Caenorhabditis elegans: one gene and its partners. The protein of the gene in region 4 interacts with the protein of the main gene of each other region in a pairwise test. Each region holds a gene or a part of one and is shown on either strand. Other genes may lie near its edges. The genes, in order: C36F7.5, sex-1, nadk-1 and nhr-32.

Region 1 (6,517 bases), on a different chromosome or scaffold from region 4:
ACGTAAAATCAACATCTTGTCCAAGAAGAGCAACTGCACTAGACATTGATGGTTGTTGAATTGTTGGGGGAGCACCACGTGAACATGCTGAAAACTAATTTATAGACCATCTAGAGAGTAGAATGCACTTAGAACTATAATTAAACTATTTTTATGGATTGGAGCCGACTAAAGATCCAAATAAAATACTTGTTCGAATGTTTCGAAGTTTGGCCAAAATATCAGCAAATTGCCGAATTGGAAACAAATTAAGATTTTTGAGAAATTCAAAATGTTCTTGCATGTCCAACTTCTACAATTTCTAAGTAGCAATAATTGCAACGCATAAAAAATACAATTTCTCTTCACTCGCCCTAGTGGCTGTCGTTTTTTTTTGGTTTTCAACAGATTATTTATGATTTGCGTTATATTTTTGTGATTTTTCTATTTAATTGTACACACTTTGCGGTCTTTTTGAGGGTTCTGCTCTGTGAAATATCTGCTTTAAGAATATATTGAACGCCAAAATACTAGTTTTTATATGACTACCTGTCCGAATTAAAACACTGGCTAGTAATAATCCAATTGGAATTGTTTTTATTTTCACATAGAACAAACTTTTTGGATTATCCCACAGATGTTTAGTGGCTAGCATTTCTGCGATTCGAAATTTCCCAGTACAAAACAAGTATTCAGGAATTTCATAGACTACTGACTCTCACAGGTATCATTTCTTTATATTCGTCTTATTTTTGTTTTTTGCCCCTTTTCACCAATAAATTTTGAATCATTCATCATCGTTTAGCTGGAGAGGTCTTCCGATTTTGTGTCATCTATTTTAGAGACATAAAATAAAAACACGGGAGCAAATATGTTTCGGACTTTGACAAAAATTCTTATAGACAGGATATGAAAGTATGAATAATTGTCTGTCACTATAAGCTATAAGCTATAAGCTATAAGCTATAAACTATGAGTTTTTTCAAGGATTTTTCGAATAACAGTTTTATATGAGGTTTCACATGAATGAGGTCTTTTTCTACATGAAATTGCACTACAGAATATATGACGTCACGACGCACTGACTCTCCTCTCGCCCAGAGAACACCTCCAAAAAATTTGATAGATGAAAAATAAATTAGAAGAAAAGCACTGAAATAAATTACAAAAGTTCAACATACATTTTAAAAATGTAACAAAAAATGTCCGTTCTCGGAATGTCGCGAGGAAGGCGACTGAAAGGCGGGTGGACCGCGCCTCCGGTATTTTGACACTGGAAGGGAAACGTTTTCAGAGTTTAAATAAGAAAGGTACCCTGTGGTCAAACATATTCAAAGTGCTGACTATTACATAAACCTCCAAATTACTCACCATCAAAAAGGTGACACAAAATAGTAGGCAAAACTAAAATCGAGGAAGATGTCGGTGGAGTTCCATCGACAAGCATGATGGTCAATCAGAAAGTAAAATGAAAAACTTTTTGGGAATTCAGTGAGTCTCTTGGATTCTTAGAGCTGCCTTTCTTCGTTACAGCTCATTGTTAACTAATAATATCCCCTCCGCGCGAGAGTTTGATTCCAAATTTAATTTTCTAAATCTTCTATATCGAAACTCTTCTCCCCCTTTTCCTCTGGCAACAACAAAAAATGTAGAAAACTTACCCTGTTTAAAAACTAACAATACACCACAAAGAAGTGCGAATAGATACATTTTCTCTTGAAGGGGGATATGAAATAAAATGACAAAGCGACCTCTTCCTCTGAAGGTAGGTGCTCCCGAGAGGGCGGAGTCACGGGCGGTCCATTTTCCGAAAAGAAGACACAGATGGAGTCGGGAGAAATAAGGGAAGAGGGTGGAAGAGAAAAAAGAAAAAGAAGAAGACACACACATTTTATTCCTGTTTTCCGGTTAGACAAACCATGGGTAATAGCGACGATTGAGCAATGAAGAGAGCAAAAAAACTTTTTTAAAGTTGTTTTTATTGAGCGAACTAACTCATGTAAGTGAGCAATTCTGATTGTAAGACAATTATTCCAATATGATCTATAGAACATTCCAATATCCTTTTTTATCGACACATCAAACGGATACTCTAACTACTTTCAATTATCAATCCGTTGATTTCTGCAGTTAACCTAATAATAAAGTCACTTGAGAAATCAAAAATGAATTACGTACATCACCAATACAGTACAATTACAGCACAGTTTTGCAATCAGATATCCAATAAATTAATTATTTATCAAAATAAATTGTCTTCTGGAAAAAGTGAATGATCTGACGTATTTATTGGAAATGTACAAGTAATTGATCTTCTATTTTTTCTTCTTGTCAGCTCCGAACACATCTCCGCCAACAACTGCCAATGTCTGGTAGTTTGGATCCATGGTTGCTGCCTTTTGACCCTAAAAACAATAAATAATACAATATTGCAAGAAAATTAAAAATCTACCTTATTATTCGGTTGAATTGGTTTCTTTCCTCCAGGTGCACCAGCTCCTCCAACCTTCTTATCAGCTCCAAAAACATCTCCGCCAACTGCTGCCAATGTCTGATAATTTGGATCCAATGTAGCAGCTTTTTGATTCTAGAATTCAAAAATTAAAATCAAAAATCTTGAAAAAAAAAATGCAACTTTGTTCATTGGCTGAAGTGGTTTCTTTCCTCCGGCAGGTGCTCCACCAGCTCCTCCACCATCCTTTTTATCAAAAACATTGTTATTAAGACCAGCCAGCGTTTGGTAGTTTGGATCATGTGTTGCTGCTTTTGCACCGATATTTGCAGGAGCTTTTGGTCCACCAGGTGTTGCAGCAGGAGCACCTCCACCATCCTTCTTATCAAAAACATTATTATTCAATCCAGCCAATGTCTGATAATTCGGATCGTGAGTAGCTGCTTTTGCATTCTGATCAGCTGGAGCAGCTGGACCTCCACCACCTGCAGCTGGAGCAGCACCATCCTTCTTTCCAAATACGTTGTTATTCAATCCAGCCAATGTTTGATAGTTCGGGTCGTGGGTTGCTGCCATTCCGGGTTTTGCATTTGCTGGTGGAGCTGGTCCTACACCTCCTGCTCCGCCATCTTTCTTTTCGAAAACATTGTCGTTGAGTCCAGCAAGTGTTTGGTAATTTGGATCGTGCGTGGCTGAAAGTTACGAGTTTATTGATTTCAACATTTATCGAATAGACATGATTGAATGCTGTCAAATACTTACCCGCCATTGTAGGTTTTGCATTTGGAGCAGCAGGAGCTGGTGGGGCATCTTTTGATGCTGGAGTCGGTGAGCTTTCGCCCTTATCACTTTTTCCAGTTTTTCCACTTTTTGTGCTTGCTTCCGAGTTTTCCAACTTGCTACCGCCTTTCTTTTTCTGAAAATTATTCTCATTTCCAAATCATTTCCAAATTCCAAATTTCCAAAAAATCAAATCCAAATTTCCAAAATTTCGAATAAAATACCTTTCCGCACAAGAACAGAACCTGAATTGTTGCACACGAAGTGAAGAATATGTAGAAAAACGATGACATTAAATGCAGCATTTTCCTCTCTGAAAATGAGAATTTCGATTCGTCAAAAGTGAAATTTGTAAAACTTACAATGTTAAGTTGCGCGTCCAAGAGTAAAAGTTGCGAAATAACAAGGTTTTGGAAGGTAATGATTATTTTGATGCGTTTCTATTTTATTTAATTTTTTTAGAACACGCAGTTTATTGGATGACAAATCGAAAAATAGGCTTGCATGTAATGTACTAATAGGAAAAATGCGCTAATAATTTAAACAAGCATTATTCTTATTACACGTGCAACGCTTCACAAAAAACCTTTCAATAAAGAGCTTGTCAACTGCAAGTTTGCGACTATCGACGCTATCAATGGACGTTCAAGATATCATTGGAATTGCTTTGATCTTGGCAACTGCCGGATCTCTTGCAGCAATTATAGCACTGCCTGGATGTGGAGGAAAAGTGAGTTTTGAGCTGATTAGTGTTCTAGTGTTGTACTGAAGCACATCATCCCACCTACGTGCTTACAAAGGTTGTGTAATTCGCGATAGTTTTTTTTCTAAACAAAGCAGGTCGTCTTACTTCAAACATTACGTTATTCAGAAAAACGCAAAATCAGCTGAAGGCGAATCAAGTTTGAGCAGCAAAAAAGATGGTGCGAAAACTCCTGATGGAAGGGAAGGATCTGAAGCCGGAACCCCTTCTCCTGGTGGTTCAGCAGCTCCAAGTGCTCCTGCTCCTGGAGGTGCACCCCCCCCCCCCCCCCCCTGCTGCAGCACCAAAACCTCCAATGGCTGGTTAGTTATTCAGAAACAAGATATTGATAATATTCAATATATTTTAGGAACTCACGATCCAAACTACCAAACTCTTGCTGGAATCGGCAATGATTGTTACGAAAAGAAGGATGGAGCACCAGCCGCAGGAGGAGGAGGACCAGCTCCACCAGCGAATGCAAAACCCGGAATGGCAGCAACCCACGACCCGAACTATCAAACATTGGCTGGATTGAATAACAACGTATTTGGAAAGAAGGATGGTGCTGCTCCAGCTGCAGGTGGTGGAGGTCCAGCTGCTCCAGCTGATCAGAATGCAAAAGCAGCTACTCACGATCCGAATTATCAGACATTGGCTGGATTGAATAATAATGTTTTTGATAAGAAGGATGGTGGAGGTGCTCCTGCTGCAACACCTGGTGGACCAAAAGCTCCTGCAAATATCGGTGCAAAAGCAGCAACACATGATCCAAACTACCAAACGCTGGCTGGTCTTAATAACAATGTTTTTGATAAAAAGGATGGTGGAGGAGCTGGTGGAGCACCTGCCGGAGGAAAGAAACCACTTCAGCCAATGAACAAAGTTGCATTTTTTTTTTCAAGATTTTTGATTTTAATTTTTGAATTCTAGAATCAAAAAGCTGCTACATTGGATCCAAATTATCAGACATTGGCAGCAGTTGGCGGAGATGTTTTTGGAGCTGATAAGAAGGTTGGAGGAGCTGGTGCACCTGGAGGAAAGAAACCAATTCAACCGAATAATAAGGTAGATTTTTAATTTTCTTGCAATATTGTATTATTTTTAAAAAAAAAAGTAAATCGGCCATACCGCTAGTCCCGGTACGGCTTAAATTCAGACTAGAAGAGATATAAACGCCACCAGCAACCCTGATAAATCTCTTGTCCGCAGGAGGCTTAGGCTCACCCTTGAACCAAACGGACAACCTTTACCTTTACTTTTTTAGCCAATTCAACCGACTAATAAGGTAGATTTTTAATTTCGGTGCAATATTTATTTTATTTTGTATTTTTTTAGGGTCAAAAGGCAGCAACCATGGATCCAAACTACCAGACATTGGCAGCTGTTGGTGGAGATGTGTTCGGTGCAGATAAGAAGAAGAAATAGACGAAAATGATCTGAAATCTACAATAAATGCTTTTATTCGCCAAAACTGTTTTTGCCTATTAAAAAAAAACAATAGACACTACAGTAACCCATAACTGCGCGCACTCTTTATTATTTTACGAGACTATAAAATTATTAATATATGGGAACCCGTCATTTCAATCGATTTCAGAACGCTTGTATTTTCATTCTTGCTCTGACTAATTATCCGATTAACCCTCTTGACCACTCGATGTCGTCTCCTGGACAACCTGAGCAGATGCTCTTTTCTTTTTGGATTTTATATCTATTTCTTCAGTTTTGGACTCATTTGAACCACTTATATCCATAAATTCTTAAATTTTCAGAGCATGCAGAATGTTCAAAAAGTTCTGACATACTACAAGCAGAGAACAGAGCAATTGGAAGAAGTTTTGAGGCAACAGAGTTGGAATCACGAACGAAAAATTGAAATGTTTGAGGGATCTGAAATCGAGAAAGATGCAAAAATCGAGAAATTGAATGCTGAAGTTGAACGACTGAAAATTGAGCTCAAAAAGGAGAAAATGAAAAGAAGTGAGAAGGATAGAAACGACGACGAATGGGAAGATTTAGTATAATTGCACTTGAGTTGTATAACAAGAAAACGTTCAAATTATAATAAAAGTTTTATGAATAAGTTTTTCAAATGGAGGAAACGATATAATAAGAAAATATGAAACGAGATCAAGATGAAGTGAAAGATCTTACAGGCCTAGGGAACTAAGATGAAAAAAAAACTAGTTTTAAGCTCACATTATGAGGTAAAATTTGAAATATAAACATATGGAATAAATGAAGTATTTATATTATTTCGGTGTTTTTGGTGTCCGTCCACCACCTGCTCCACGTCGATTGTTCACATATGGATAAAGACTGTCAGGAAGGTTATCTTCGGTGATAAGTCGAATACCTTCCAGCTTCAAAGTTGATAATGCTCTAAAATATTATCAATTATTTAGATTGAAAAATAATGGCGAGATGTTCACCTATCCAGCAAAAATGTTCCATATTCTGATTTAGTGATATTGTCCCAGCTTTTGGTGGTTCCGTGAAATTCGCCGGCCTGAAAATGGAGATTATAATGTATAAAACTTATTTTTCAACCTACTTTTTTA
Region 2 (8,935 bases), 3.0 Mb from region 4:
ACGGATGAAGAACTCCAGCAGTTTGAAAGAGAATATGCACAAAAACAAGGTTAGTTTGGGGTTTAATCCTAGCAGGCATTTTGTTCCATTTAACACTTTTCTGAGTTTTTACTAACACGCAGGCTTACTTTGATTTCAAATTATAAAGCTATTAAAACATTTTAAAAATGCAATAGTGATGCCTTACTTAGAATTTTGATTTTTAACTAGGATGGGGAGAACATGCATATGACCCACAACAAGTTGCTTCAGAACAACAACATCCGCAAGAAGCTGTCCAACAACCACCACAGGTATAAAGTTACTTAACATAGTAATGTAATCATTTGACATTTTCACAGGCTCAGCAACAAGTTCACCCTGCTCAACAGCCAATTCAACCGGTGAATGCAAATCCACCACCTGTTCAAAATGCGCAACCGCCTGTGCAACAGGTACCAAAAACTGACATTCAGAAAATCCAATAATTACTACCCTTTTTACAGCAACAACAACCTCCACAGCAACCACCGCAACAACCACCTCAACAAAATTTGCCCCCTGTGCACCATGAACCCATCCAAGATCACACTAAAGATCCAACATACGGAATTTAATTTATATCAGTTGTAGATTTCTAATTTGTTTTAAAATGCTAATGCTTTTGGTTGAGATAATATGTAACTTAATGTCGAAACCCGGGTTGTATACTTTTGAATAGGTTTTCAAACATTCAGAATTGTCATTGGCCATTTCTTGTCTGTCTATTCCTTTGTCGATTGGACCTGTTAATCCCAATTCGGACAAAAACTGCATATTATGAAATGAACGCATTTATCAGAATATTTTTATATATGAAAATAAGTAAATAAAAAACACTACCTCACCAATCTAGGATTGCAGTGCGAAAAAGAAAAAAAAACTTTTGGAGAGCTTTGCAGATTTGCGAATAGACAGCGTAAAACTTCAATTCAATAATTGGAAAATTTGAATCGAGTGAAAGAGTTAAACATTCGGAACATATAAAGAAAAACCTAATTTTAATTGGTTCCGTCACGGCAATCGTGAAAAAAGTCAAAATTTGTTTCAGCTTAAAAGTTTCAGCACTGAACCGAAATTATTAATTTCAAGAAGCAAAAACAAGAATCTCCATTGGTTAAGATGATACATTTGCGTTTGGAAATAGTTATTTTGTAGTTAGAATATCGCCCGCGAGCACAGTTTTATTGAAAATCTTGATTCTCACTGTTTTATATTTCAAAAACAATATCACTCGTCCTGTAATTTTCTCATAACCATAACTTCTTGTTTTCTAGCACAGTTAACGCATGAAGATGAAGCTCTTAGGAAAGTTAAAAGAATCATGCCTTCGTTTGGTCTTGAAAAAAATAAATCTTTCATAATGCATTAACATCTCCTAACGGAATAGCCAAAACTATTCTATATTGTTCAGTCAATACAGGTGTGCTCACTTTTTGCTGAATACTGAATAGTAAGAACCCTGTGACAAGTTGCTTGTTCGAGGTAAAAGTCAGTTCAATCGAGATCGGAGCCATTCTGATAGAGGTCGACGGCCATGTGTCTCGATTTTTCCGATGTTCGATGTCGATGTTTTTGGTTTTACTCGCATACGTTTTCATAATCAATAACGAAAGTAATTCTACAACTCGTTGAAAATTAAATAATTAATGTTTCTCTATTGACATCGGTACGCCTTTCATTTTTGGAGCTCGATTGGACTGGACCTACAGAGGGTTATTAAAAACTGCAATATTGAAGTTATTAAGGCATTCTTTCAAATACTAAATTTATAGCACGGAAATCATTTTAATGATACCAATCGTGAATAAACCAGAACCGTCTGGTTGTGATACTTATGACAAAAAAGATTAAGATTATTGAGAAAGAAAGCAAAATGCTGGATTGTGGCAATCCTTGCAAGAATTATTAAACAGCAGTCATCAGACACGTGACTTTTGGGTTGGAAACGGGCAGGAAGGAGAGATTGAATACTTAACTACATTAAAGCGAAATTATTTGAAGGTGAATTGTGTTGGAATGAAAACGGATGAGAATCTGACAAAGGTGGCTAGCAGTGAACGGGAGTCTGTTGTTGATTTGGCGTTGGCTGCTGTGGTTGAGGGCTCTGATGCTCTGGAGCAGGAGTATATTGGTTCTGAATTAAGTTTAATATTAACCTCCCATCTATAGCTCCTTAATAATTACCTCTTGGTTGTTATGGTTAACAGGCAACGGAAGTGTTGAGAGTTGGAACATTTCCACAACGAGAGGAGGCAGGTTTAAAAACGACAAATTTTCTCGAAGAATATTGAGTTGCTGTTTATGTAGCTCATCTGGAAAAAGTTGATATAAAATAAAACAAAATATCAGTATGAAATACAACTTACTAAGTCGATTCAATTCATGAATACATTTCATAAGTTGTTTGTATGTATCGCATCCGTCAATGCGGCATGTCATTTTTTGGAAAAGAACTTTCTTGTAAAAATCAAACATTTCCAGCAACTGCAATTGACTTTTGAAGTTAGTAGAAAATTGTTGTTCCGTGGTTAGTGGCTGGCAAAGAATAAGGACAATGAATAGTGCAATATCTCCGTCTGTACATCCAATTGTAATGATATGGTTTGCAAATGCAAGCATTTCGTCCGCCAATGATCCATAGAGCAGTTGAAGAGACTTAAAGTCAATGAGTCTTCCATCTCGAAGCATAAGCCCTCTGTTCGACATTCCACGAACAATGCGAAGCAAGTAGAGTGGGAAAGCGTTTTTCCTGAGTAAAACTGCTTTGTCGTTTCCGTTAATGAAATTAAATTTTGGAATTTCTTTCACAAAGTTTACAACTTCCTTGATGTCCACGTCAATTTCATGAGCATAAATCTGCCAGGCATTCAATCGATTCATTTTTGAGTCTTCATTGATTCTCTGAAACATTTTAACGTTTAGTATGATTTTAAAAACATGCCCAAAAGTTACTTACGACATTGAATGGTCTTGCAACAATACTTCGGATTTTAATGTCAGTGTAAAATGAGAAGGTAGTGTGTGCTCGGAGTACAGCTTCATATACGGCGTCAACTTCTTCTTGCCGTTCTAGCGTTGAGATTTCCGGAACAAAAACGGAATCGGGGCTCTTATCATCTCGCATTGCATTTCTGAACTTCATTTGGCGAACAGCTGAAACAACATTTAAATCTTTATTTTTTTTGAAAAACTTGAACTCGGTCTTCCAAAAAGTTTTTGCTTAAAACAGGTACGGTTTTCTTTTTTTTATGAGTTTTTTCTTTTTTTAATGAGTACTTGTGAATCCTATAGAACACTATTTGAACATGTGAAAATTTAGCTTGAAATGTTTTCAGAAAAACTAATGGTTTCAGGTTTTATGACGAATATAGAAATCGTTTTCGTTTCAGCTTATTGAGGCTTCACAGTGATCAAACCTTAAAACCTCAATAGACTTTGATTTCTAATAAATTATCATTTGTGTAAACCCTATTGAGCCAACTGCGTCAGGTGTGTTTGACACCACAAAATTGTTGCACACTTCTATCTGATCAAACTTACAATCTTTTGACATTCCAGAATCAAGGCATTTTTTGAAACGACAGTACTGGCATCTGTTGCGGCTCTCGCGTTTGATCTCACAAACTTGCTGTTTCAAACACCGGTAATCAATCTTGCGCTGAATGCTCCGACGGAAGAATCCCTGAAAGAAATAGTTAATTCAAAAAAAAACTAATTTGATGGCACGTGTCGGTGCCAAGAGTACGCCCCTTGTAAAGGATTTACTGCCTTTGTGCTGAAGTCGAACCATTTTTTGAAATCTCAAAATGTGAGCGGGGCGTTGTGATGTGTAAATGACCAAGAATAAAGAAGGGAAGAATGAGGGATTCAAATTTAAATTAGTCATCTTATCCGCTTAAACTTTCTCGTTCAGTTGATGTTTTTCTTTGTATCTAACGCACTTGCTCAGCAGACCAACCAACCATGTTTTATTAACCGTCATTATATGTATTTGCCGAGTAAGGCTTGTTCCTCTTATGTTAGTATGCATCCAAGACACTCGCACAATGGGAAAAGAGAGTCCTTAATGCACATAGCAATACACAGTCTCCAAATAATTGCGCAATTTGTGTTGGGGAAGTGCTCATTCTCTCGCTCTTGGTCTAACATAAGGGAAAACAAAAAATCAAATAAGACGGTCATAAATATAGGTTTCGTAAATAGAACAAGAAGGGGATTTATGAGTGGAGAAGGGTTTCATTAAATTCAATAGAACCACGTGATTAGTGATCATTTTAGGACCATTCATGCCTACCTTGCATCCTTCGCATGACGTCACTCCGTAATGGTATCCACTTGCTTTGTCTCCGCATACTTTGCAAAATGAGATCGCCTTCCCAATGTGATGACGTTGAGTGGTATGACCATTTGATAAGGAATCAGGAGGAGACAACGATGAAGTTACTGTAAATGTAAAATTATCTAAGAAATTTTAGAAGAGTCAATTTTCAAGTGGGTGATATGGTCATACAACATTTCTTCGATTCTTCGAATTCTTCTGTTTTATTCTTTTTCTAAACTTATTTACACATCAGAAATATACAAATTTAACTCAACTTGGCAGATTACAGATTTAACATGCTATGTATACCAGTGAAATTTATTGAAGTACACTGTGCACACCATATTTGTTTCCTTCTCAATGATGACGTGATAGTATTTACCTAGTTTTCCTTGGTCCCGTTCTCTCCGCGACTCAGTAAGCTCTTAGCCACATCTTCAAGATTTGTGGCATATGCGTTCTCATTGTCTCTCTCACTCTCACAGTCTTTTTACCACGCCTACATCGCACTCTTTCACCGTTCTCTACGTTCTCCTCCTTTATTACACTTCGTCTTCTCCTCTTCTTTCACCCATCGGCATTCTTTTATTACCGTACCCATACATCACTGTGGTCTGGCAGCGGACGTCCAAAGAAATGACGAAACCTGGAGATTATTACGCAACCACGTCATAGCCGCTTGCCTTCACTTTCGTTGTACAAAAGTAGGCCATCTTAGAATACAGGAAGATACGTGGAACAGAGCACAACTGATCTGGTCCCTATCGAGCTAAATATGATCCAGAGAGGGAAGAGATGAAGAATGATTGCAAAGTCTATTAGACTTTTTCATTTTCTCTGCTCTCATTCTTCTATCAATTAAATGGGAGAAATAAAGAAAAAAGGCGAGAGAAACTCGGAAACTTGCAACACTTCTCAGACACATGTTCTTAGGTGAGGAAAAAAATCTGTGTTGCTGTAGATGTTGCTGCCACTTGTCACCACACACTTGATGATATGCCCCACCTACTGATAGATTTTGATAGAAATAGACTCCCTAACTTACCACTTGTTGCCGGCGAGCTCACGCTGGCTTGTGACGCCGTATCATAGAACTGATGGTGATTGTACCCATTGACGTTATTGAAGTAGCGACGGTGTGAGAGAGGGTCAGCGTAGTTGTTGGCGTTACCACTTTGAGCTGCTGTCGATCCGTTTTGGATTTGGAATTCTGACGAGAATTCATCCGTCACGTACGTCTGCAAATTGAGAAGATTTAGTTTTCAGTTTAATTCCTGGATTTCTATTTTGAAACTACGCATTAACTTTGTAAATCAGAACAAAATATGAAAATGATGACGACAAAAACTTACAGCTCCAGTCGGAAGATGTGACCATTGACCATTTGTTCCTTCTGGTTTGCTTGCCTCTGATGATGGAATTGAAGCTGTTTTTCCAGAAGGGCTGTAGTATGGAGATGTGCATACAGAAAGCGGTGTGTCAGGATTTGTCAGTAACAGATAGTTAGGTTTTGTTTCGAAACTCATCTGAAAATTAAAATTATTGAGTAATGCAGTAACGGACAACTTTCACAGTGGGAAGAGACAGAGAATTGGTAAGAGAATTATCTGAAAGGTAAAAGAAAGAAATGGAAAATCTGCTGACAAAGGAAAAGAACAGCAGTTCGAGAAAAACGTGATAACAATTTGATGAAGAGAACATGGAAAGCTAGAATCTAGAAATCAACAATTAGTTTTTAAAGCAGGGAACTATTAACTAGCAATAAGGAAGGCTGGTATCGTGTATTAATCTGCGCTGAATGCCTGCCTGTGGGTGAGAGGATGGGGAGAGACGAGGAGGATAGGCGGAGCTGAGGAGGAGTGCACCACTGGGAGATTGCTCGACAAGCAAGCACATTTCGATTAAAAAAACGGGTGGCATGAGGTGAGCTTCACACATGGTTTTAGAGTAAAATTTTACCTTTTAATTGATATTTTAGTACCGGAAAGTAAGAAACGTGTTCAACTTCTTAAATTAAAATTCAAAAGTGATCTGAATAGAACAATTTCCAAAAGCATTATGAAGTTTCCAACAAATTCAACTAGGTTGAGAAGATGTGATACAATTTATAACTACCTAGTATAGTCCTTCACATGTTAAGCCGCTACTACACATGTGTGCATTTTTTTTTTAAAAGTTTTTGGTAGAAATCATGGATGCAAAAATTGATCAGCCAAGTCCACAATCACGCACAAAAATAAACGAAGATAGTTTGAGCGAACAAGATTACTGCGTTCTCCCCCGAGAAAATGATTGCGTTGTTCTAGGCAATTCTTGCGCAATTTGCAATTAGATATTCCATACACAATGTGTTGCATGGTTGCGTGCCTTTCTCACAGGAAAAAACTAGGGAAGAGGAGACGGTAAGATAAAGCAACAGAAGGAGGGCTCGAGATGAAGTACTATCCACTCGAGCTCACTTCACCATCATGTTAAGGTGTGAATTGACACCTCTTGGGTGAGGAGAAGTGACGAGATGTTGGGAAGCGATGACGTGTAGTGAGAAGAGTAAGATAATAATGTTTACAGAGTTGCAAAGAATCACACAGAGAAAACTCAACAAACTAGAGATATGCACAATGAAAAACAAAATATCGATCCAAAAAAGTGCGGACTGAGAGAGAAGAGGAGGCAATGCAGTGGTCCGCAATTGTTGGAGATGAAAAACGAGACAACTGTGATCGAGAAATGAACAGTCTGCAAAGGGGAGGAGAAGAGGCGAATGCGCACAACAAGACACCGTCTGGAAAGAGGTCTGCCGGTTTACAACCACCTTTAAAAATTGGTGCACATCGCTTGCGCATACACAACTTGGGAGATGAAATATATAGGACGGGAGGATACTCTAATAAGAGTGAATATTATTAATATCTCCAAAAATGGCACATAATATAGCACATAACTTCAACAATTAACGCTCGCCGGCTATTGCGTGAACTGTGTAACTAGTAAGGCATCTAAATTACTAACGGAATTCTAGATCACCAATATTTCGTCCTCCACTTGTACACTCGGACATAACAATACACCTTCGTGCACATCTTTCCCTAGCTAACATCTCTTAATGATGCAACTTATGCCTTTTCCCCGGTTTCTATTACGAAGAGACGTTTCAGTAACATGCACAATCTTTATGAGTTCACGAATTGCATTCCCGTTTCACAAATAAACTTCACCCTAACTTTGTACTTTATGGAAAATTCATCAAAACGACAGCTGGAACTGTTAAAGCATAAAAGACTCTCTGCGAAATTTTGTGCATCTGTCGATGTACTTTCTTCAAAATGACGAATTTTTGAACAATTCATAAATTTGTTTCTATTGCACCATGTTCTTCCATCTACACAGGCATTTTTCCAAGAAAAAAAAGAAAACAGCTGTTTCATTTTTCTCTACTCTTAACGATTTAAGATACATAAGCAAGATAAAAATCATCAGGAAAAACGTAAGGGAAAGTGTTTTCCATGACACAAAACATTATCTAACCGATGAAGTTGATTAGATAGTGCAATGCATGGTCCGTAAAAGGGGCATAATTAACTGATAATGATTATTTGTAATAGAAAAAACTATGTTCTGTGTTTTCAGTTGTTTTAAAGGGATAGAAAGTTTGAAAGTGTTAAAAACACTGAAACTAATATTCATACTGTTTGAATTAAGAAAATATAAAAATCGCAAAAAAAATATATTGATCTGGATGTATATCTAAGACAACTTCAATCAAGGATCGGTTATTAAATTTCAAGCTATTTCAATCTTAGAGCAAAACAACATGGTTTTCTATTGCACTTCCCAAAAGTGTAAATCTGGTATTAGTGGAAACATAAAAATCCAGTGACCGTAATTAAAATCAAAAAGGGAGACTAGCAAACGGCTATTGCGTTGGTTAAGAGTGCACTTTAATTACCCCACTTTTAGGCTATCTAGAATATAATCTATTAAAAAGGAGCACTCTTCAAATTTTCCAAAGGTAAAATAGAATCAAAGAAGTTCCAGCTCTATTGGAACATGGCACCCGAAATAGTTGTCTACACGATTCAGAGAATCAGTAATATACCTTACTCAAACTTGTATTCATTACTTCTTCTAGTGACGTCATCAATTGACAACTGTAAGAAATCAGATTGTGCATAGCAGTTTCTGCCACCTTTTTTTGGTGCAGAGATCCAACTTTCCGAACGGATTGAGCGTACCGTCTCGAACAGCAGGGAAATGCGGAAAAATTGAAAATGGCGAAGACGTGCAAATACGAGTGTACCGTTGTTTCAACATGAAACTCAAAAACAAATGAGCCGGTTAATGGAGAAACCGAGAAAACAGAAATATGGCGAGTTGACAGCAATGTGAATGTGGACCTGTCTGACTAAGGAGGCGATGTGCGGACTCAGTGTGGTGATGACGTGAAGATGAGACTGTATACAAGAATGATCAACGAAAACCGTATACTCGATCGATTAGAAAATAAATGTGTGTTACTTGAGAGTAAACGTAAAATAAGAGCATGAAACAAATTATTTTCTGTGAAGCTGAAAAAAAAACACTATCAACCAGTAG
Region 3 (7,485 bases), on a different chromosome or scaffold from region 4:
CTTGAAACCGGTTCTTATCATGGATTCGCAGTAAAGAGGCGGAACTTCTGGGGGTTAGTATATAATGGCACCTGATAAGAATGGAATTGGCAAAACTTTCCGACTTTTACTTTTCCTCGCAAACAATTAACTTTGATTCAGTACAATTTTTGATTCCTTACCATTTCATTTCAGATGGGCGCCTTCGGGACATTAGCATGTGCTTCCGCTACGGTCCTCACAATCGGATCCTTGGCAACGATGTGCCTTATCGTTTCCGACATCAATGGGCTTTACAACGACGTGATGGAAGAGTCCCGAACAACTCGTGAGGTTGCTGATGACGCCTGGGAGGAGCTGCTCCGCAAGAACGGAGCCCCTGAAGCTTCCCGTGCCGCTGTGACCGCCATGCTATTCGGAAGAAATAAGAGAAACGCTCAGTGTAACTGTGGAGCCAAGAGCAAGGGATGCCCAGCAGGACCACCTGGACCACGTGGACCAAATGGTGCTCCAGGACTTGACGGACCAGATGGGCTTGATGGACCTGATGGACATCCTGGATATGCTGCGGCAATCAAGGAGAATTTTGGAGGAGCTTGCATCTCTTGCCCAGCAGGACCAGCTGGACCACCAGGGCCAGATGGTTGTGCAGGAGAGCCGGGAACCGATGGCGCCCCAGGAGAAGACGGACAGAATGGAGCACCAGGATCCCCAGGAGGACCAGGAGAGACCGGACCACAAGGACATCAAGGAAAGCCTGGAAGAGCCGGACCACGAGGACCACCGGGAGCCAAGGGACAAACCTACCTTCCAGGATCAGCAGGACATCCAGGAAACAGTGGACGTCGTGGACCACCTGGACCACCGGGAGCCAATGGAAAGAACGGAAAGCAGGGAGCCGATGGAATTCCAGGCGCCGGAGGAGCACCAGGACAACACGGAGTTCCTGGAGTCGATGGATCCGATGGAGCACCGGGAGAGGATGCCGCGCCAGGTGGAGACGCTGCCTACTGTCCATGCCCAACGAGATCGGTGGCTGTCGAGGCAGCGCCATCGCAGGCAGAGCAGATCTACAAGACTCATTAGAGAGCTTTTTAATAAAGAATGTCGCATTTCAAATGGTTTTTGTGGTTTTTTTAGTTTCTGGGGTTGCGAAATGACTTCAGCTTGTATGGTTTCAGATTTTTCATATCAGATTATCAGCACTGAACGAGGTCTCAGCACAGGGAGTCTCGCCACAATGGGTCTTACCACGAAGGGTCTCACTGCAATGGGTCTCACCACGGAGGGTCTGGCCTCGATGGGTCCCGCTACGATAGGTCTCGCCACGATAGATCGCACTGCGGGGATCTCACCACGGGGGGTCTCACCACGACAAAGGATCTCGCAACGATGGATCTCTGAAATTTTGAGAAAATGTGCATTTGAAGCACATTTTTGAGACCATTTTATACAGTTATGAAAAAGTAATGAATTTATTTTTTTTTAATTTCAAATTTCAAATTGATGTATCACATAAAATCGTATAAAATCTATGTACAATTACGAATTCATAATTCACAAAAAAAACGACAACCCGAAAACCCGTACAATAAAAACAATACACACAAAATCATTGTTACACAATCACAGTTTTCAAAGCATCATTCGGATTGACCTCGATCGTGGCGACGGCGCCACGTGGGAACGGGATCTTTGTGGATCCGTCAAGGACCAGGTATCCGTTGGTGCATCGGGATTCGAGTTTGATCTTTCTGGCGAATCCGCGGGTCGCCGTGCGTTTGTAGGTGGCGTTGAAGATCGGCTCACGGATTGAGAAGGCGAAACCTGGAAAGTTAAAAGTGAAAGTGAGATAATGAGAAATTCTCAAATTTGAGTTTTCTGAAGCCTGACGATGAGGCCAGCCATGGGGTCCTTTTCTCAGTCCTTTTCCATGTCTGTGCAGGGTCTTATATTTGGAATTGTGTAATCAAAAATACCCCTGACATTTTGTTTCCAACTCAACAAACCCAAATTCCAATCAACTTTCAAAAAACTCACTAGGATGATCTGGCTCGAACGGGATCTTCTCATTCACCGAATTCACCACCTTCTCCACCAAATTCCTTGTGATCGGCACATCCACGCCAAGTGATTGCAGTGCCTCCAACACTGACGTCGTCGCATTCTCATCGATCCTGTTCATTCCGAGGTACCAACTCGTCGATCCGGTCCCAGTCGACACAATCAACCCGGAGGACTTTTGCTTGACTGTCTGCGAATCGTCGATGGAAATATTGTAGGTTGAGACTTTGGCGGCTTCATCCTCTCCGATGAACACCTCGTTCAGGGCGAGGTTTGTTGATTTTTCAGACCTCTTCAATGAGAAAATCGAGTTCCGGGATTCCTTTACTGTTACCCGTATCCTCGTCCTCTGCACCCACTTCAAGTTTCCAGAGACCAGACGCTCGATCAAATCGCGAGGTGGATTCTTGCCACCGACACACAGGTGTCCTTCACTTCCGATCGGGTCAGTGTTGATACCGATGATTGGGGTGTTGTCGTTGACCACGGAAGCTGCAGCCAAGAAGGTTCCATCACCACCGGCAGAGATCACCAGATCAGCTTCAGGCAGGTACTGGGCTAGCTGCTCGCGAGTCACAACTTTTGTGGAGATGCCTGCTTTGCCAAGTTCGGAGACAATTTCCTGCACTGCGTTTACTTGTTTCTTCTCGTTTTCGAGGAGCTCTTGAACCTTGGTGCCTTTTGAGGAGAGGTGCCTGAAAAGATTTAGTAGCTGGGAATATAGCCTGATAGACATTTTTACATTCAAATGAGGTCAGTAGACTTTTGTCAATTGCAGACACCATGGGAAAAATACACAGTTTCGGTTTTTAGCCTAAATATAATTTTCCAAATTTCTGTATGATAGGATATAGGTGAAGCAAAACATGGTGCATCGACCGGACACCTTATACATATTTTATATAGTGTTAATGTTATTAAAATTAAATTCAGGAAACAACCTATTGAATATGAACTTTAAGACATGGTGCATCGACCGAAAATTATCTTCTTTGGTAGCTCATATCTCTGTCTGTTTTAGCGTTATCAAAAAGTTGCTCACAGGCGAAATATGAAATATATGTTTTTCTACTATTTTGTAATAACAATTGTTTGAGTACCTAAAAGATGAACAAAGCTACAAGCTTTAGAAGTGGCTTGAGACATGGTGCATCGACCGGAACCAGCTTTGATAGCTTATATCTCATTTGGCTTTGGGTTTATCGAAAAGTTGCTTTCTGACAAAATATTTAAATATTTGATTTTCTACAGTTTTGTAGTTAAAAATTTTTTACTTTTTACTACCTATAAAATGAACAAAGATATGGACTCTGAATGTGGAGGAAGACATGGACATACATTATTGCAGTTTCAATTTTTTAGTATCTAAAAGATGAACAAAGTTACAAGCTTTAGAAATGGCGTGAGACATGGTGCAATGACTAGAACCAGCTTCCACAGTTTTTATCTCGTTGTATTTGGTTTTAAAAGAAAACTGTCAACTAATAAAATTATTTTTAGCTATGTGCCTATAGTATCTTAAAAATGAACAAAGATATGAGCTTTCAAAGTGGAGATGCAAAACGTGATGCATCGACGAGCAGCTTTGGTTGTAAAACTCACTTTTTCAGATCAGCATCGCTCAAGCCCGTCTGCTCCTTCTCCCATTGCCATCGTGTGCTCTTTCGAAGGATCAACGCAAACCGGATCGCCTAAAAATTTGCTCCAAAACAAGGCTTAAAATCGAAATTTGGCTCACCGGCTGCTGTCTGCTTCCGCTCGGTTTTCCTTGTGTTACCGGAGAAACTGGGCGCGCCACGTGGCTCACGCAGTGAGAAATTGCCAAAGCGGCCATGATGGACGGCTGGAATTATAAATTATTAGAAATTGGAAATGGATATTTAATGGAATCAAAAAAGAGAGAGAGAAAAGGTTAAAATATGATAGAAAAGCTTATCAGTTAGTTTTTTTTTCAGCCGCCTCATCACACACGAAAAGTCATTCGAGAATTCGCCAAAAAATCAACACAAATGGCACCATTATTTTCAAATTTCCAAAATTTCAAAATTTCAAAAATTTTTCCCGATTTATAAATAAACGGGGCTCCGCCTTCCGAACGTCTGGGCGCCGCCCACCGTTCCGGTAGGCTACAACAATAGAAATTGTGTGGGAGGTGGTGGTTTGTTCCCCTCGTGCTCAGATGTGCTCGCAATGTTTGATTTTTGAGGAGAAATTGAAAGTTGAGAATTGAGAATTGACACAAAGTAAATAAATGGTGTTGAAATGATACTTGACGCCATGATGGAATTTTTTGGAAAAAATGGTGTTTTGATCGGCTGGAGTATAAGGAGTATAAGTTTAAGCTGTGATATCTCTACGAGTAGAGGAGTTATCAAAAATATGCCAACTAATAAAATATAGAACTTTAAAAGTTGCGTATTTTCGTAGTTGGCAACTTTTTAATGGAGTTCACCTCCGCGGAGTTACAGACGCCTGGAGGTTCAGTGGTGAAGGGTGAGCAGTAGTGTCGAAGACTAGAAATCGTTGTAATTTGTTGGAAAGTGGATTTATCAAAAAACTGTTAAACTAGCAATTTATTTATCACATAAAACTGTACATTTTTGTAATTTGCAACTTTTTCATAACAGTAACCTCCGTTTAGTTACAGGCGCCTAAAGTTTGGTGGTGAAGCGGCAAGGGAGCCGATGAAGAGAGCTACTGAAATTTCTGCCCTTGTATCTCCTCGGAGAATAAATTTATCCTAAAATTGTTAACTAACAAATTATTTACCACATAAAACTGAACATTTTTGTAATTGTGAACTTTTTCATAAAACTACCCTCCGCTGAGTTACAGGAGCATAAAGGTTTAGTGGTGAGAAGTAGGGTGCCAATGGCTGAAGCTAGCACCCTCCGTATCTTGTCGAATAGTTGATTTGTCGCAAAATTGTTCATTAAAAGATTATTTACCACATAAAACTGAACATTTTTGTAATTTTCATCTTTTTCATAGCATTAACCTCCGCTGAGTTATAGCCGCCTTAAAAAAACACTACATGCTCAAGTTAACAACTGTTGAATAACTTTTACTTCGAAGGAGTTAAAAGGAGTTAAAAGTAAAAATACGTTATGAGAATTTGATTTTAAAAGGCTGCGGGATTCAGCTTGTGCTAAAACCTCTATACCTCGTCGAAAAGTAAATTTATCACAAAATTGTTAAATTACAAAATATTCATCTCATAAAACTATAAATGCAACCGAACGCATTTTTTGATACCACTCACTTCCACTGAGTAACGGGCGCCAAACCGTTCAATAAACAGTGCAAATGCTTTCTAACAGTCTGCGCCTCCACTGATTCCATTATATTTTTTTCTTCGGCAATTAAAAAAAAAGAAAAATGACCGTTTTCTATGCTGGGAGAACCAAAGAGAATTCGTTGAAAATCAATTTTCAAAACAAAAACAGCGGCGATGATTTCGAAACATACGATGTGACCAATGACCAAAAACTATAGAGCACGGGAGACCACAAAATTTTGTGTCCGACTAGAGAAATGGGTGAGAATGGGGGAAATTCGGAGTTTTTTATTAAGAAAATAGTAAAAATTCGAGTTTTAAATCTAGTAACTCATGAAGAAGTCTTATCAAAAAGGCTGCACAAATTACGCGATTGCTCTCCGCTCTTCTTGAGAACCAAAGAACCAAAGAACGCGTGAATGATTCAAAAGGGGGTATTTAAAGGCACATGCACACCGCCGAGACACAAAGAGACACAGTGTGAGTGTGCGCGTAGCCATGATGACAAATGGCTAGATTGCGACCTGACCCTTCTAAATTTTGTGCCCTGGGCTTCAGCAGGGCTTTATGGAAGTGATCATTGTGATATTGTAATACATTGTGACCACACAAAACTGAACAGCTTTGAGGGCTTATATCTTTGCTACTTTAAAATACAACAAGAAAAGTTTAACTGCAATGTTACAGAAAAAGATTTGAAAAATATTTTAGTAGTTGACAAAATTATGATAACCCCCTAGACAACTGAGATATCGATGCACCATGCTTTGCAAATCAACCACAGGAGCCTATATCTCTGCTATTTTCGAAGATATTGAAAAACTTCTAACTAGAAAAATGCTTGATATTTGGTTAGTTGACAAAATTTTGATCAGACCACAGGCAAGCGAAATTAATGCTAAGCGAGGTTTTTCTGGTCGATGCACCATGACTTGCAGCAAAGTTAATTTTGAAAATATTTAAAATTCAACTATTTACATATAGAAGTTTTTGAAATTCTTTCAAGCCATCTAAAAATACATTTAACTCCACGTCGTTTTGCCATGTGACCCTTCTTCCGGTGGTCACCTTGCTCAAAACAATAATATTTGCTCATTTATCTATTTATTGTCCACAATAATCCCACCGGTTCCAACACAGTACATATATTTATTTAAATGATGTGTCCTTTTGCCAAACCCCCGGTCTCACCTGATGTTGTCATCATCGTTATCACTGTACACATTTTTATGACCGCGTCTTGTTTAGAACGACCAAAATACACGTGAATGACACGTGGCTGACTACAAACTACAAAACAAGCACTAATTGACTACTGTCACTTTTTTGGGCACATCTTGTCTGATGTTTAGAGAGAAATACAAAATAGTTAAAAAGTTGTTATTTTGTGGTCTATAAGATCTAACATACAATTTTTCGAGTTGAATGAATATGGAATTTGAGTTCGAATTTGTCAAATTCGGTTAATACAATTAATTTCAACCAAATAATTTAAATTTTTGGGATGGAACTACAAAATAAATTGAATAAATTGTAAAACATGGTGCATCCACCGAAAAGGCTCTTGATAGGTCTTCTGTGTAGGCGTTAAAACGCCTACCTGTCTGGCCTTAAGGCGGATCTCCGCCTGACTCTCGCCTCAATACGCGCCTTATGCTAAAACATACCTAAATTTTTTTTTCCTTTCACAATTTGATTTTCAAAACAATAATGATAGAAATCAGAAAGTTTGCTATTTGAAAACTCACTCCAAGAGGCAGAAAAGAGGCAAAGCATTTTTCAGGCAGGCGTCAGGTCCTGAGACCGCGCCTGCGTACCATGGAAGCTTTAGCTCTGGGAATTAAGAATTAAAGGAAAATACTAAATTATCAACAAAAAAAAACGATTTCGAAAAGGTGAATTGCATCAAGAAGAACTGCGGAATAGATTTGCGCGCGGCGTGCTTGTCAACGAAAATCGCATCAAATCAATGATGACGAAGTGCGTATAGTCCCCCTGGAAAATCTTATCAAATCAATCACACACGCATCACATAGCGACTAGTTTTTTTGGTCGATTTGAAAAATATTTGAAAGTATAGGGTGGAGATTTTTGGTTCAAACTAAGTTCGTGTTGGCACAGTGACCTCCAAGACAGTTTTTGAAATTGGGTGATAGATTTTTGTC
Region 4 (9,083 bases):
GTCTCGGTGGGTATTATCGGAGGTAAATTGACCAGAATGATGGTTTATCAGATAAAATTATCTTTTTTATCACTTGAAGAAACGATTTCGTGCACCATAAAATGGGCAAAAAGGGCAATCAAAAAAACGATAAGTCAAAAGATAGATTTGATGATGATTGGCAGTTCACCAGACACCCGGCTCTTAAAAAAGTTTTTTGTAGTGAGAAACTTGGTTTATCGAATAAAACTATAATTGAACAGTACTTCACTTCACTGAGGTTTAAATAAAAATTAAAAGAGGTAGAGATTTATGAAGAATCAGATGAAAATTGGAAACTGAAAAAAAATCTTTAAAAAACGGTGCAAGTTTTAAAGTGACCTAGAACTGAGAAAAAAAATTTAATGAGACAAAAATATGATTACAACCTTATTTTTTCAACTTAATCGTTATCAATGGTTGTATTCTGAGTTTCTTATCTTAAAAGTGAAAATTTTGATTTACTTCTTTATATGTATGCCCATAATTTTTGCAATGTATCTAATTGAATGTTTTAATGATTAGTTAGTATGAATTGAGCTACCAAAACTTTATTAGTTTTCGAAAAACTTTCAAATCATATAAATGCACATATATATATTCTCAACAACTTATCGCTATATTACAAAAAGATGTCCCGTATTTGCTCTAATTGTTTATATTCATTAAGTTCATTTAATTAAGTAAATCAAAACTAATTATTTTATTGACTGTAACTAAATTCCAAAAGTCACAAAAAAAAATCGTAAAATGTCTTTTTTTTAAGAAAGAGTAAGTTAGAGAAGTATTTTGAAACCACTTCACTTGTGCTCAAATAACCAAATCTTTTTCGAAAATGGGGTTAAATTTTAGGGTACTTGTGTATTACATGCCCTCATTTTAATAGTAATTTTTTAAGCCATGAAAAATGAAAACGTGAACCACAATTTGTATTTTTAGGCTTAGGAAATAACATTTTCTAAGCCTAAAGAGGAATAATGTATATCACGTTTATTTTAATTGGAGAAATTAATGACAATTTAATTTAATTTGAAAATGAGGGCATGTAATACACAAGTACCAATTTTAGGTTTTCTCCATATTTTTCATGAACTTCGCATATTACCAAAAATAAATTTTTAATTTCAAAAAATCAAGTTTATTTAAACCGTTCTATAATGATATGTTTGACCTTTTTTATTACTGAAAGTTTAATTAAATTAAATCTCAATTGGCGCTTTTTTATTTGTACTAAGCTTGGTAAAGTTGCGTTAAACGTTTAATGAAAAAAATTTAATCAATGGATTTATGGCTACAAGTTTCTAATAAACTCATTTGTTTTCAAATGGTACTTATTTTAGTAATTTAAAGTGTTGAAAATTTTGAGTTAAAACACTTTAACCGGCATTGTATGCAAAGCAACAACAAAATGTTTTTTTTTGAGACCCAAAAACTCACATCCTAATTAATCAGTGCACTCAAGTTTTTAATAGCTAACATTTACCAGAACTTGCTCAATAAAAAAGTTTCAGAACAACAGTACAACTGTGACATCTGATCAATATTTTTATTTCCGTATTTGATTTTTTTTAACAGTAATGTACAACAAAGGACCATGACTATGGCATGTATTTGAAAGAAATGGAATAAATTGACTTGTTTGATTTCAGGTGGTTGAAAGAATAGAAAAATATCAGCAAGAATTGACAAGAATTTGATTCGATGGTGTAAAAAGTCACAACAATTTTTATGAATTTTGAATAATAGGACGGGGGTTTAGAGCTCGGTCTGGCGGGGACTCCAAACAGGAAAATTTAAATTTAAAGAAACAAGATGAATCAGACTCCGCTGAGAACATCGTCCATAAATTGATTCCAATCACTCATTTTCCCGAAAGAAGGAATTAACCGCACAATTTCGTACATTGTCTTGTGATGAGTCTGCAAAATAAAAAATTCCATGAAGAAACTAAAAAAAAAAACACATTTCAGTTGCATATATTTAGTCATCATTGAATAAAGACAATGTCCCTAGAGGGGTCGGAGCAAAACTTTATGTGCTCATCTTGGGCTTTATGTGGGTAATGTAGTAAAATTGTTTGATTTGATATATGATTTCTTTTTTTAATTTAGTGTAATTTAGCATTGGTTAATTTTTCAAGGCGTTATTGAATCGACTGGGAACATGGAAATATTTAATTACCGTATTTCCTCTATTAGTCTTGCATGCAAGACTAATTTTCAATCGAACCGCAGGGGTGCAAGACTAATAGAAACTGCAATACTATTAGAGGCTGCAAGACTAATTTTCAATTGCCTTATAACATTGGAAAGTTGACCAATTCTCGTCAAAACTTGTCTTGAAACCGTCTAAGTAGTACAAAATATTTACTTTTCAATGATTTTATCAATTATTTGAACACCTTCATGTTTAATGTAACCAAAAAATGACGAATTTGTTGAAGTTTCTACGAATTATTGCTGGTCAGACAATACGATTGGCCCGCAGTGGTGCAAGACTAATAGGGGTGCCAGACTAATAGAGGCTGCAAGACTGATAGAGGAAATACGGTAATTACAACTATGGTTTTTTTAACTTGAAAGATAGCTGACCGTGTAGATTTTTTTTTTAGACTTATGCTGGCAACTTTTCCTATTTATCTCTAAAAAGCTCACTGTAAACGATGGAAGCAACAGAAGTATAAACTTGATCCGAGCTTCAATATCATCAACTCCTTCAGATATTAAATACTGTTGCAATTCTTTCATAGCGACGTTGCATGCTTCGGCAGATAACGCTTTTGCCATTTCAGATAGCTGTACGTTTCCAGGATTCCAAAACATAATTCTTCGTATCGTCATAATCTCTCCATATAACATGTTCTGACTGCCAATCGGCAGTACCAGCTCATTGATTAGAGCACGCATGGGTTCGCCGAACATTCTGTAAAAAAAGTATTGTAATTAATGTTGGCTGTAAAATGAGAACTTTTATTAACAAGACCTGAATGTTAAATTTGGCAACTGTAAGCTGAGGAACTATGTATAATATGAATTAAATGGGATTGGAATTGGCTAAACCATTTCATATATTCATCAATTTGAAAAAACAATTTTGAGACGAAAAAGACATCTAGCCAATTCAAATAAGAATTATGCAAGTTTTGTAGCTCATTAAACCAAGTTGCTTAGAAAATGTATTTATCAAAAACTATATTTTGAAAAAAAATGCGTGCAAACAGGCTGAAAAAATATCTGATACTTTGTTGCAACTGTTGCAATTGCAATGAGAGCATTAACATAGCTGGACTAGATGAAGTTTGATTGAATGAAAAGTTCATTTGAAAATTTCATCTATCAAATATGAAAGTTAAATTCCCAAACGATTTTCACAAGTTAAAAAAAAACTTACATATCTCTCATTTGATTTTCATCCACAACATCACTTCCTTTAAAATTAATCGGTACACCGGGAACAATATAATTGTTGTTGACCAATACTAACTAAAAATAAAAACATTTTTACTCAGTTATGTACATCTTCAGTTTCAACTAACCCGATCTCGAAAGCCAAGTTCATAAGTGTGATAAACATTGTCTAACAGCATGTATTTGAGCGCAAATGCTCGTAGAAGTTTTGTCTGGAATTTAAATTGTACATAATTAGAGAAACATGTGTGTATACCTTATCATTGTGATCACAAAGCATCCGAAACTCGGGTAACTTTTCAACCCATTCGAACATTAAAACCATTTGGGCTTGAAATATTGTCGTGAAGTCTTCTGACGTGGCAGGGTGACGTAACGTCATTTCCTGCTCGGATAATATTTCTTCTAGACTTCCACAAAGCATTGCTCGCCTTCGCCGCTTTTGTTCCATAAAATCGTATACTTGTCTGACTATCAGGGAGCTATCGCTAGGTGGTGACGGAGGAATTGCTGGTGTGAAATCCTAAAGAAACGTTTATAATAGATGTTAAATTTGAAGAAATCAAGAAATTAATTTATATATCAAGGATAACTTCAATTAGGTAAAAGAATAAACTTCGGTCTCTTATCATATATAAACCATAACAAAAAACAACTCACTGCTAAATTTATATTCAATGGTGTGAACGCGGAGCCAGGAGAGGTCATATCACTGCTGAGCTCATAGCTTGGAGACGTCTAAAACACTTTCTGTTTTTTAAAATAATTGCAAAAGGAAGATCATACCCGTGTTCCGCCTAATCGAAGATCATAATCGGGGTCATTTTGATCGAACGATCCATTGGAGGTATGCACTTCTCGTTTTGGTTGAACTGCTTTTTTATCCATCCCAACCGCGTAACACTTGGCTAATCTGCAAGCTCGGCAAGCACAACGAGCATCTGGAAAACATTAATGTTTAAAAACAAGCCATTCGTAATTTTTCCAATAAAAAAAGTGAGTTTAAATAAACTTCCAATCATATTGCTTTGATTGAAACTATCATAAGATTGAAGCTATAGCTCATTTCCATGGCAACAAAACACGAGTGATGCGAGAGTGTCTTTCACTTCGGGTGTTGCTATATTGGGTTTTGAAGCAACACGTTTATTTTTGTTGGCAACATTGTTTTACCTAGAATACCGAAAACTAGTTCAATGCAAAAATTTTAAGAAACATTGAGTTTTCATCTTTGTAATTCTAAGTTAAAGTGATACCATTAGGGCAAATGCTTAAAATAACCTTCTTATTGCAAAAATTTTAAATACCACAAAGTAACTGTTAGAAGAATAGTTTGAATTGTTTTATTAACATTAAAAATGAAAAATCATTTAGGTTTTACCGATTTTAAGTTTTTATTTTGCCGAAAACGTTTTATGGTCGAGTTATCATTCTTAACCATGTGTTTAAACACTCCAGGTTTTTAAAATTAAGCATTTTTCGAAAGTCAAAAGTTATCAAAATAATTGCCAAATCACCAAAAACTTTAGGTGAAATTTTAAACAATCAAAATACATTTATGTTAATTTTTCAAAAATGTTACCTCATAAATTTACCTAAAAAACGCAACTTATCCAATTTTTGAAATGACTCGCGGGGTTTTTCCTAGTTTTACTAGTTTGGTTCACATCTAACACAAATGTTCCTGCTATTTCAGAATATCGAAAGTCATTTCAAATTTTGGATGAATTAATTTTATTACTGCCTTTTTTTTTTAATTAGTTGAAATAATCTCTAAAATCTTTATTTTTAAAAAAAGTGTAGTGAATTTTCTGCAGTTTTTATTCGTACTTCAAGGAATGGAAAAAAAGTCAATTGAAACTAACTGAAACAGTCAGCGATCTGATAAAACATTTTGTGTTTATGTGTAGAAGAGAGTTTTGCACGTAACAACAATCTTGACCTTATTCATGACAGGCCTGTTATCACAACTATTCGGAATTCGTTTTTTTTTTCAATTTTTGAAATTTAGAAGATTTGAAAAAATACTCACTTTTATCAACAGGACATCGACCCCCTCTTCGGCATGTGAAACTCATGTTGAAAGTGACCGCTCGTCGAAAGAACGCGTTGCAACCTCGACACGATCGAACACCGTAATGAAACCCGTCCGCCGCGTCGCCACACACCACGCATTGTTCTAAAAAGTTTTATGCTTAGTCATTCGGACATAAAATTTTTATTTTGAGTTTTTTTAATTGATTATTTCAGTTAAAGGCTATTGTTTTTTATGGAAGCTTCTTTCAGTTTTAAGTTTGAGCGTTAATCGGAACAAGTATAAAATTATATATTGTTTCTTATTAGCCAATTAGAAAACGAAAAAAAAATCAAAACTTTGAATACCTGTATGGCTCAATATTTCAATGTGTGAAGGATTGAGCTTCGTTGCATACATCAAATGCCTTCTCTGGAAAATTACATTTTTTGAAATTTTTATGTGGATAAAATTTCACAACTTTCAATGAAGAAGAACATTCGTTCTAAAGAAAAGGTTGCAATAAAAATCGGTATTGATATTATGAGCTCATCCAGGTCATAATCCATAGTAATTAGACTTAATTTAAAATTACGTAAACATAATTCCCCTCGGGGCACATGAATTCATCTGGTCTCCTTTTCACAACAGTTGGTGGTCGGCGAAAAGGTGCCCCTTCTTTCGTGTACAAATGATGGACCACACAAGAGCCGGAGAGTGACAGACGTGAAACGGTGCAGTGGCAGAGTAGAAAAGAGAGAAAATAGACTGCACGTGCTATTGACAGGACAAGCAAACCGGACTAAAGAGAGGCAGAGAATGAATGTTGGGGACGAGACAACGAAGGGCAAGAAAAGGAAGAAGTACGCGAACGATAAAACGTGAGGAGAAATGAGGTCCATTCGTGGTAAGATGAATAGGACAAATCTGGTACTCTAGGAATATGTGTGACCTCAATGCGAGAAATCATGTCGCGATCTTTGATTCTTTGCGGTCTCGATTATATCGCCAAATTTGAGTGCCCTAAAGTAAAAAATGATGGTAATCTAAAGGTTTTTGCCGACTTACTACCTACCTACAGCATGCTAATAAAACTTTAAATTGTCTATTGAATACAAGAAATGAGGAATCTCAGTAACTTAGAATGCTTCAAACTGGCGGCATTTCCCAGAAAAGCTTAAGCAAAGGTTGATACAAAATTTGTTCAGGAAATGATATATTCCTGCTAAAACCTGATACAAGTTCAATTAACGTTTGTATACCTTTAGCAAAAATCATTTAAACCGTTAAACGTTGAACAATGCATGGGAATTTGCTCCCAATCACCCTAACAATAGTGTAAGAAAGGGCACAGGAAAATTGTTATACGGTGTCTCAGAAAGTTTTAACTTTGTTGGGGCCATAAACTCTCACAACATTTTGTTCCAAAAAACTTAAAACTACTGAAAACCAACATGCCTCGTTACTTTATATGTATGTTCTAATATTAATACCTAGATACATATGACAATTTACTAAATTGGAAAATGTTTTACAAAAATTTACAAGAACTGTTTTAATGATGGATATGAAAATTTTGAATTCATCAAAACTAACAATTATAACAATTATTCAAGCAACAAAATTCGAATTGCAATTCAAAAGACATGTTTTAATCGACTTAAATATTATATCAATTGGCACTAAACGTGTGTTTCAGTTGATTCGCTACATGTATTGGTATTTTCTTTTGTTTTTCCAAAATTCACAGAAAATCAGTGGATATTCTAATAAAATGCAAAATCTATTTAAATTATCGTTTTTCCTCAAAAAAAAAACACTAAATTTACACCAAAGATCATCAGTAGAGAATACTATTTTCCCATACTTATCCTCCGCCTACAAACATACACACACACACACACGTGTTTTCCCATTTCTCGCAACGAATGACCAAAAACTGATACAACCTCTCCGTCTCTGAAACAACAAAGAAAAACCAAAAAGCGAAACTATCATCTCACATTATAATACAAACACCAGCCTACCTACAATGTTGCGTTGCACGCTCCCACCCGCTTCTCCCGCTCCCTCTCGCCCTCCTTTTCCACTTTATTCGCATCACTTTTTTATCGCTACGCAATTTCTTGACTTGTAAACAAAACCTATTGGAAACCACCAGTGTGCCTCTTGGATTGAAATTTGGAAGTGGAAAGAGAATGAAATAAGAAGATGAAATAAGAAAAAGGCGCGAACTGTTACAGAAAAACCGGAAACCTCAACTAATTCAATTTCATGTATAATATATTGAAAGTTAATATTTTTAAAAAACTGAAATGTAAATTTGTGAAACTAGTAAGCGTACTACAAAATGTTCAGCGTGTTCAAGATTATTATTTTTGAAGAATAAACAACCATGTCGGAAAACGACATACCCCAACTCGCACAAATTTGAAACACAAGGTACTCGGTTATATTTATCAAGATTAAAACTCGTAAAGCTATCAATTTTTTGAGTGTATTGAAATAATTTCGCTATTGACACGTACAACAATAAGGATAATTTATTTGTCAAAGACCAGAAACGATTTTTTTGTCTAACTTTTATTGTATTTGTCGCACATATAAAACGCTGTCATTAATTTTTTCTTACCGCTGATTGGTAGCCATAATTTCAATGAGCGCAAAGTAGGAGACACCAACAAGATACTAAATTAAGAAAGTAAGTTCTGTTGTATGCGTTACTGCAATCTTAAATTTTTTATAAAATATGGGTATGATATAATAAAAGTGGTTTCCTCACAGATCTTCAAGTTTTACATTACAATTGGAGTATCCGAGAAATACTTTTTATGATCAACTTCCTCAATTTTCATCGGAATCTCAAAAAAAACGTCATATGTTGCCTTTCTTCTTTTTTTTTAAGGTACCCAATCGTAATATCACTATCATACCAAAAAGATCATCACGTTCAATTCCCTGCTTCAATTGCAACAAACTACACACGTTCTGTAGATTTACTAGAAACACGTGGGGGACAGGAAACAACCTTTTGGAGCATGATGCGTGGAGGAATAATCGAGTTTCCCTAGAATAGCGAGGAAAATATTTGGTTGCCCGAGTAACGCTGAAACTAAATTATATATTTTCATCGAAGTTCGACCTGAGCCGCATTTTAGCATTCAGATCTGCAATGAAGATGCCGAGTTTCTTAGTGTTGCATATTTTATCAATATTCTTTCAAATTAGCAGCTGCTTCAATTGTACGGGAAATAATACGTTGTGCCAGGTATTGGGAATTGTGTTATCAAATATTGCTGATTTTATAGAGCTTGAAATTTCAATAATAGATTTTATAAGATCCGAAGAATAGCTAATAATAAGAGAAACTGACTGAATCATAAAATGTTTAAAAGTAAAACTAATTACCTATTCAAAAATTCCCTAAAAACACTCAGAAAATAAAAAAAAATCTGGTCAAATCTTTAAAAAAAAAATCAAAAAGCCACTGATTAAGGTGTGCAAACAATTTGGAGAAACTGACGGAGTCAATACCTTTTATGCTGACCAGTTGTGCTCTATGTACGCGGGAGTTCAGGATACTTCGGGGAACTACACAATCCCAGAAAGATGCGAACTTTTGTTTAGCAAGCTGCATCGTGAGT

What was found.
Region 1: the proteins of nhr-32 (region 4) and C36F7.5 interact in a two-hybrid assay, tested with the Caenorhabditis elegans proteins (one large-scale study listed by BioGRID).
Region 2: the proteins of nhr-32 (region 4) and sex-1 interact in a two-hybrid assay, tested with the Caenorhabditis elegans proteins (one large-scale study listed by BioGRID).
Region 3: the proteins of nhr-32 (region 4) and nadk-1 interact in a two-hybrid assay, tested with the Caenorhabditis elegans proteins (one large-scale study listed by BioGRID).

Annotation. Positions count from the first base shown.
Region 1 is NC_003279.8:9,572,509-9,579,025, forward strand, and holds C36F7.5 (DUF236 domain-containing protein), read right to left. Parts: upstream 3,819-6,517; 5' UTR 3,574-3,818; intron 3,525-3,573; 5' UTR 3,517-3,524; coding exon 3,436-3,516; intron 3,348-3,435; coding exon 3,194-3,347; intron 3,124-3,193; coding exon 2,615-3,123; intron 2,567-2,614; coding exon 2,432-2,566; intron 2,385-2,431; coding exon 2,295-2,384; 3' UTR 2,251-2,294; downstream 1-2,250. Other genes in the region: rig-5 (Ig-like domain-containing protein), read right to left, coding at 1-87, 1,641-1,869; F42H11.1 (Collagen triple helix repeat protein), read left to right, coding at 3,849-3,941, 4,083-4,838, 4,887-5,021, 5,292-5,381; lem-3 (Ankyrin repeat and LEM domain-containing protein 1 homolog), read right to left, coding at 6,209-6,338, 6,389-6,465, 6,511-6,517.
Region 2 is NC_003284.9:10,199,554-10,208,488, forward strand, and holds sex-1 (Steroid hormone receptor family member cnr14), read right to left. Parts: upstream 5,869-8,935; coding exon 5,695-5,868; intron 5,581-5,694; coding exon 5,388-5,580; intron 4,465-5,387; coding exon 4,316-4,464; intron 3,704-4,315; coding exon 3,562-3,703; intron 3,175-3,561; coding exon 2,978-3,174; intron 2,923-2,977; coding exon 2,388-2,922; intron 2,334-2,387; coding exon 2,206-2,333; intron 2,156-2,205; coding exon 2,069-2,155; 3' UTR 1,776-2,068; downstream 1-1,775. Other genes in the region: nucb-1 (NUCB1-like N-terminal domain-containing protein), read left to right, coding at 1-49, 211-293, 342-434, 486-596. UniProt on the Caenorhabditis elegans protein: Transcriptional regulator which is involved in the sex determination and X chromosome dosage compensation pathways.
Region 3 is NC_003282.8:1,453,476-1,460,960, reverse strand, and holds nadk-1 (NAD(+) kinase), read right to left. Parts: upstream 3,887-7,485; 5' UTR 3,878-3,886; coding exon 3,782-3,877; intron 3,735-3,781; coding exon 3,646-3,734; intron 2,739-3,645; coding exon 2,020-2,738; intron 1,807-2,019; coding exon 1,598-1,806; 3' UTR 1,440-1,597; downstream 1-1,439. Other genes in the region: col-106 (Nematode cuticle collagen N-terminal domain-containing protein), read left to right, coding at 175-1,065.
Region 4 is NC_003284.9:13,248,752-13,257,834, reverse strand, and holds nhr-32 (Nuclear Hormone Receptor family), read right to left. Parts: upstream 5,872-9,083; 5' UTR 5,860-5,871; coding exon 5,808-5,859; intron 5,605-5,807; coding exon 5,458-5,604; intron 4,367-5,457; coding exon 4,212-4,366; intron 4,164-4,211; coding exon 4,086-4,163; intron 3,949-4,085; coding exon 3,682-3,948; intron 3,638-3,681; coding exon 3,554-3,637; intron 3,501-3,553; coding exon 3,409-3,500; intron 2,941-3,408; coding exon 2,673-2,940; intron 1,938-2,672; coding exon 1,836-1,937; 3' UTR 1,551-1,835; downstream 1-1,550.